Caenorhabditis elegans: one gene and its partner. The protein of the gene in region 1 interacts with the protein of each later gene in a pairwise test. Each region holds a gene or a part of one and is shown on either strand. Other genes may lie near its edges. The genes, in order: C40A11.7 and pas-2.

Evidence for each region.
Region 2: the proteins of C40A11.7 (region 1) and pas-2 interact in a two-hybrid assay, tested with the Caenorhabditis elegans proteins (2 studies listed by BioGRID).

What each region holds. Positions count from the first base shown.
Region 1 is NC_003280.10:2,148,686-2,152,615, forward strand, and holds C40A11.7 (BTB domain-containing protein), read right to left. Parts: upstream 1,867-3,930; intron 1,744-1,866; 5' UTR 1,626-1,743; coding exon 1,506-1,625; intron 1,351-1,505; coding exon 1,102-1,350; intron 929-1,101; coding exon 814-928; intron 300-813; coding exon 121-299; 3' UTR 47-120; downstream 1-46. Other genes in the region: C40A11.8 (G protein-coupled receptor), read right to left, coding at 1,867-2,250.
Region 2 is NC_003283.11:10,768,064-10,771,855, reverse strand, and holds pas-2 (Proteasome subunit alpha type-2), read right to left. Parts: upstream 1,489-3,792; 5' UTR 1,476-1,488; coding exon 1,438-1,475; intron 1,393-1,437; coding exon 1,316-1,392; intron 1,263-1,315; coding exon 1,016-1,262; intron 972-1,015; coding exon 638-971; 3' UTR 505-637; downstream 1-504. Other genes in the region: D1054.3 (SGS domain-containing protein), read right to left, coding at 108-303, 377-393; D1054.1 (PNPLA domain-containing protein), read left to right, coding at 1,932-1,977, 2,031-2,122, 2,177-2,259, 2,316-2,421, 2,467-2,541, 2,587-2,715, 3,032-3,178, 3,223-3,345; ocr-1 (Ion transport domain-containing protein), read right to left, coding at 3,402-3,515, 3,609-3,792. UniProt on the Caenorhabditis elegans protein: The proteasome is a multicatalytic proteinase complex which is characterized by its ability to cleave peptides with Arg, Phe, Tyr, Leu, and Glu adjacent to the leaving group at neutral or slightly basic pH.

The DNA of each region.
Region 1 (3,930 bases):
AATGTTGATCACTTCTAGACGCCGCCGTACCTTTTTGAGAAGTTTTCGAGAATTTTCATTATAAAACAAATGTAAAAAATTTGATAAATGCATTTGAAATATTAAATAATATGTGGGTATTCATTCTCCGTTCAAAATACTATCGATTTTCTTCTGTAGATCATCCATAGCTGTTAAATCAACGCAACCTGAATGCGTACTGTTGTAGATGCGATAACTCCAAACTGGTTCAGGGTAATATTTCATTCCGCGATGTCTCCTTAAATCTTTTGGCAGAGGTTCTCGATTATCCATTGGTTCTGCAAAATAATTTTAAGTAATTTGTTACAAATACGCTAAATAAATTAATCAGACATGTTTCAACAAATTGCGATGAAAAAACATTTTTAGGTCAATTTTTTTCCAAAAATTTTTTAATCTAATTTTTATAAAATTTTAAAAAATAAGTCAATTGTGTCATTTTCTATATTAAAATCAAAAATAAAAATTACGGTTGTCACTGTGAATTTCTAAAAATTGAAGTAAACTTTGCGTTTTTCAGTTGAAAACAGTAGTTTTATTTATGCAAACTGTTATATCTCTAAGAAAACATATGGCACTTTTTAAAAAAAATTACCAAAAATATCTCTGTAAATTTAACTTTCAGAAAATATATTTGACATTTTTGTAGCTAATCAGGTTCTAAAGTTATGCTAGTTTTCGCCAAAGAGACACATTTACAGGCCGGTGTAGTATCCTCAAAACTTACAATTTTCGGAATTTTAATGATTTTTTTAAAATTTTCCGAAAACGAAAAAAATCCAAAAAACTCACGAAAATAGATTTCTACCACTGAACTGTTTTTCTTAACAAACTCATCGAATCGAAATCCTTCTGGGATGTATATGATATCGTTATTATGGGTTATGTAGTTAATCACAACTACTGGCTGAAAATGATATCAAAATGATATTAAAATAGCATATATTTATATATATATATATATATATATATATATATATATATATATATATATATATATATATATATATATATATATATAACTGAAACTGAAATATATACATATATATATATACATATGGGAAAATAAATAACACCTACCTTCTTGGTGCTGGCGATGATTTGCAGCAATTCATGAGACGAGCGATAAGTTCGGATTTGATTATTTATAGGTTCACACAAGTCTACCAACTGCTCCAACAAGTAGAATTCGGCTTCTTTTTTCAGTTCTTGTAGTTCTTTTTCAGAGTCTGGAAGTACTGTAACACCGGATCTCATGTAGTTTAGCACAGTTTCAAAGTACTTTGGAGAGCGATCAATGAAATAACAATCGGAAGTGTCCTTTTTAACCTGAATTTGAAAAATTTGACTTTTTTGTTATATCTGGAGAACGGGCCACAAATGATTTCACTAAGAATATATAGGCTTACAAACCGGCCTGGACTGGACTTAGACTTGATTTTTGGACATGATTTCCTAGTTGGCGAAAAAAGAAACAAACTAACCGGAATATTCGTCTCGACTAATGTTTTGAAAAATCCATCCTGCTTGGTCAGTGTCGATTTCCACGTCTCGAATACAGATCCGCCGACATTCAACTTGACAATTGTCTCAGAAGAGCACATATTGAGTAGTCACAAAGAATGAATACCTTGTGTTACAGAAGATTCCTTCTGTTGCTTTTTATCGATTTTTTTGACGACCTGCTCATCGCATTCCTCTGAGCACCTCGGGAAAGGTGACCTCAGTTTTCCCAAAATTGTGTGAAAAATTATTTAATTATTTATTCCGTTACAAGGAAATATGTAGATATAGCTCACAATCAACGAAATATTAAAAAAAAACCTATGAATTTTAAACCACATACTAAAAACTAAAAATCGTCTCCTCATATATCCATCTTCGAGATTTCCTCTCCCAACTACACACTCCTCTCCTCAGCACCATATTGTCGGGCACCATCTCGCTAAACGCAACCTCTTCAGAGTAATAGGCCAAGCAAGCCACGTAGATCAAGGGAATCGATAAGATATTGATGATCGGAAGGATAAATCGGGTTACATCGCGAATCTCATAGGCTTCCTCCTGATCTGCCCAGGGGACCAGGCTGATGAAGCAACGGCCTATGTAATAGGCCTCGGTTAAGGCCATGAAAATAATTATGAATAGCTTCTGAGCAGTTGTTGCCTTGGCTCTTTTCAGTAGAGTGTAGTGCGTGGGCGTGAATGGCTCATTGAATTGATCCAACATTATTATATGTAGGTAATACTCGATAGCAACGATTACGACGCAGACGAGTAACTGAAAATTTTGAAATTGACGTAATTTAAGTATCCGATAAGCTACAGAAATTTTGAATACACTTTCTGAAAGTGAAACATTTGGGCATACTTTTGGTAATTTTTCAAAAAAAAATTGCAAATTTGGCTCTGAGATATTATAGTTTGAATTTGTAAAACTATAGTTTTCAACTGAAAATATTATAATTTTATTCAAAATTTTCAAAATTCTCAGTTGATGAATAACTCATTTCACAAAATTCCATAAAATCACGTGGTGTCAGAATGTCCCATTTCGTTATGATCTACCAGAAATGCGGGAATTTAGACGCAGATTTTTCAAGTGGTTTCGCATGGTTAAGAACGTGCTGACGTCACACTTTTTGGGGAAAATTTTCCCGCATTTTTGTAGACCAAACAGCACCACGAGAAAATTAGAACACATTTTTTTTAAGAACATTGTCAGAAATTTGTTTTTAGTCAAAACATTCTGAATTATTTAGATTAACTACAATAACGTGCTAGATTATTTGAAAACCCAGAAAAAGATCAAATAAATTCAATACTAAAATTTGGCTGACCGCGACGCGACCGCACCGCACCACTAAAAATTTCAAAAGTTACCGAAAATAATCAACATGAGATTCAAGTTTCAGAAAAATAACGGACAACTCAAAAATCAAGTTTTTAGAGTTTGAATCTCAATGCTAACGTTAATTGAAAAGTCTGACCGCGACGCGACCGCGCCGCATCACTAAATTATTTCAAAGTTCTTTGAAAATAGTCGTTACGGGTTTCAAATTTCAGAAAAATTGACGGAAAACTCAAAAATCGAGTTTTTAAAGTTTGAATCTCAATGCTAAAGTTAGTTGTAAAATCCGACCGCAACGCAACCGCAACGCAACCGCAACGCAACCGCAACGCAACCGCACCTTAACGCGACCGCAACGCGTCCGCACCGCACCATTCAAAAATGTGCTCAAACCGTGCCAGATTATTTTTAAAAAGCAGAAAGTGTAAAATCTTGATTAAATTGAAGTTTTATCGAAAACTATATGCACAACTTGTCTGAAATTTCACCGGAATAGGTTTTCGACTATGCTCTTTCCGAAAATAAATTTTAAATTTTCCTTGAATTTTCCTCGGCTTCAGATTATAAGGTTACCGGTAAACAACAACTCACATTTGCCCATTCGCTGTACATTCTGATGGGAACATATACGGAGATTAGAAATGTCTTGAAAATCACCGCAGTCGCCATTTTATACTGGTTTGTTGTTTTTTTTTAAACGACCGAATATCATAATCTCACTGAGAATTTAAAAGTATTGAAGTAAATTTTGCGTTTTTCAGTTGAAAACAGTAGTTTTGCATATTCAAACTGTTCCAACTCAACGAAAAAGTATTTTTTTTTTCTTATGAAAAAACTTAAAACATGATCTTAAGTTTTACTTTCAGAAAATTTATTCAAAGTTTGCGTAGCTGATTAGTTTCTGAAGTTACGTAAGTTTTTTCACCAAATTCAAATGAAAACAAGTGTTCATTTTGTGAAACGTTAGGTTCACAGTGATTTCAAATTTTTATCCGATTATTCTCACAACTTGATTCATCACAAACATTCATTTTTCTCGAATTTTAATCAATATTTTGC
Region 2 (3,792 bases), on another chromosome or scaffold:
ATAAATAAGGTATGCTTGGGAGGATCACTAGAAAATCTTGACGTTTAGACATTTATCTAGTTTTCTAGTTTCTAATGGATCTACAATAATATTTCAACCCAACTAACCTTGGCGGCAGTGCATTTTACAGTAAGATCATCTTTTTTCACTTGACCAGATAATTGTCCATAGAAGAGAATCTCATCACATTGCTTGACCGTCAGTGTGTTGTTATCTGATAGAGAAACAGAGCAATCATCGAGAGGCACTCCGCGTTTTAGGATAGTTAAAGTGACATCAGTTTCACTCTGGAACCAATCATGCCTGAAATTTGAATGTAACGAATTCTTATTTCAAAATTTTTAAAATTCACTATCCTGTAAATTTTAATGCTCACCTTGGTTTTGAAGACATTTTGATTAATAGCTGAAAACAAGTTTGTTCATAAGTCTGAGAAAATTCAGTCAAGATAAACAACCTAATAGGGTTATACACCTTAATAAAAGTACCTCAAAAGTCGGGTGTAAAACGGTAAAAGGATTCATTGTTCCAACAAAACACCGTAGCAAAAAGAGATTACTACCGGGTACGGATAGATGGGAGAATACATAGAATAAATTAGAGAAAAGAAAGAAAGAAAATTGTGAAATCACTCGATTTAAAGAGTTCCAAGGTGATCATGGACTTGTTGCTTGGTGAGCCGATGGAATCCGGTCGAGTTACAAACAGCCACCTCAACGTTGTTCTCGTTCATGCCAACATCGAACGATTCTCTCAGTGTCAGAAGAGCAGTGTGAATTCCATCATCGAGCTCGAGGGCCTCGCTGAAGCGCTTCTCGAGGAATGTTTTCGCATTGACGTCGTTTTTCCCGAGTGCTGTTGCTTTCCATGCGAAGTAAGCTCCAGATGGATCACATTGGAAGAGCAATGGCCGTCCTGGATTTTTGTCCCAACCTGCGATAAGAAGCGATGCTCCAAACGGACGAACACCACTGAAAAATCTGAATAGAGTGCGTTTAGAAAAGTTCTAACTCACCCAGATTGAGTATATTCCTGCATTACGGCCGCGATGTCAGTGACAAGTTGAATGGTTGGCATTTCCTCGCCGTACATCATTTCGTATTCCATAGCAATCTTGCGAGCTTTCTTCACCAAAATACGGAAGTCTGGTCCCATTCCACTGTAGACGCATCCAATATGCTTGCTGATTTGTTCTACCTTTGGCTGGTCATCGGTGAGAACAGATCCGACATTCTCGGTCGCAAGAACGACTCCGTCTTTAGCTGAAAATGAATTTCCCATTGAAAACGACAGTACAAGACAAAAACTTGAATACCTCTCAGTCCAACCGATGGTTGCCCATTCTTGACAGCATTCAATGCATATTCGATTTGCATCAATTTTCCCGATGGGCTATAAAAATAAAATTGACTTTTCTGGAGATTGAATTTAAACTACCTGAAGGTGGTGAGTGAGAATCCATAGTGATCTCCCATTTTTCAGTGATTTCTGAAAAATTTATTTTAACTGAGAAATTTAATCGAACACCAATTGACAACAAGAAAGCGTTTGCTTTAAAGCGAGGAGCAAATGAAAAAGAAAACCCGGTGAAATTGTCATCATTCGAACTGAGTGCGGTAGAGCGCGCTTTATGACCACTTCATCGACGCAAAATTCCCGGAGAATCTAATTACCAAACATTTATTGTGAAAATTAAAATGTTTACACTTCTCTAAATGTTTAATGCATGTGAATTTTTTCGTTAATTGATTTTTATCTTTTTCACATAAATTAAAAACATATTCATCGTCTCAACTCCTCCATGCGGGCAACGCTGTAATTCGTCACTTTTGTTTTTATTTAGTTTCTTCAACACAGTGGCATGTTTATTGGAAATCTTCTTTACCATGAGACACTTGTGATTTAATTTTTATTATATAAAATCTATAACTATGAAAATATCGACTATTTTGCTGAAACGACTAAACAAACTAGAAGGTACGAATTTCTAATTTTTCACCAACTGTTTTATTTGAAATCCTCATCTTCAGATGTTTCAAAGTTGGCATTGTCGTTTAGTGGTTCGGGATTTCTTGGAGCTTACAATTTCGGAGCAGCAAAACGTCTGATGCAAGAAAAAAAAGTAAAAATAAATTAAGTTCAAGAGTTCAAAAACTAAATGTAAAAATTCTAACAGACTATTGGAGAGAAAGTTGATCGATTTGCTGGTGCATCTGCAGGAAGTTTAGTTGCTGCAATTCTTGCTTTGGCTCCTGAAAAGTAAATACATATTTCCTAGAATAATAGAAAGTAGGCAATAATCTAAATCTACTCAGACTTGATGCTGCAATCGACACACTGTATTCAATGGCAGATCACGTTCATGCTCAAAGATTTGGTGCCATGACTCCTGGATATTACTTGAATGAACAACTAGTTACAGTAGGCATCCCTAATTTTTCAGATGAAGAAAAAGGAAACTTTCAGATCATAGACGACTTTCTTCCGACTGATATTGCAAATGCTCAGGGAAGATTGCATATTTCCATAACCAAATTGAAAGTAAGAACAAATACGCTTGAAACTCTCATAAAAATTGTTTTCTAGAAATGGGAAAATATAATGATCAACAAATTTGACAGTCGTGATCATTTGATATCATGCCTTCTTGCCAGTTGCTACATTCCAATGTATTCAATGGGATATAAAGGGGTTCCACCAATTATTAATCAAGAGGTGCATTTATATTATTACGGGAACACAAAATTCTGTGAATACGTATTGCGCAATATATTTGACGCGCAAAAATATCTCGTGGCGAAAATTACAATAATTCTTTAAATGACTACTGTAGTTTTTGTGTCGATTTATTTACGGGCTCAATTTTTGATTTTTTTTTCTTTGTGTTATTCTCATTAAAAATCGACACAGACGCTGAAGTAGTCATTTGAAGAATTACTGTAGTTTTCGCCACGAGACATTTTGCGCAATACACATTCTCAGAGTTTTGTGTTCGCATAATACAATGGACTAATAAATTAAAATAATTCAGGAATGCATCGATGGTGGAATGACCAACAATTTGCCCACATTTCCAGACGTTTTGACGATAACATGCTCTCCGTTTTCCAGTCAAGCCGATATTTGTCCGGATGATCCTTCAACCTGGAACATTGAATTCGGTAAACAAATATTCAAGGTTTCTATTATTTAATAAGATTCAATTGAAATTTAATTTTTTAGGCGAGTAGACGAAATTTGTATCGTGGAGCTCGAGCATTGTTCCCACCAAATAGGTTTATTTTGAAACAATATTACGAGATGGGTATTAGTGATGCAGATATATTCATCAAGAAAAATTTATAACTATTATAAATGTTGTTTTAATTTTTAAATAAAAAATTAATATTAGAATATGAATTTCACATCTTCGAGTTTGCATCAACAGTTTGCTGCCTGAGAATTCTTCGTTTTTTGACCTCAATGTGGAGTTTGGCACTCATCATTGCCAGTGCCTTTGCCTTCACTTCGTGTTCCTGAAAGTTGTAAAAGTTTGAATCAGATAAGAAATATGACTTGCTTCCGCAGTAATTATCAAAAACTACTAGATTTTAAAATAATAAAATTACTCTTTGTTTCTTCTTTAACAACTGTCTTCTCTCTTCTCTTTTCTGTTCTTCTTTTGCTTCTCTCGCAGCTAATTCGTTCTTTTCAGTTCTTTCACCTTCTCCTTTAGATACCACAACATAACTTCTAACTCTTTTATTGATACCAGTTGGTCTTGTATATCTAAGTAAATGCATCTTCCGACTT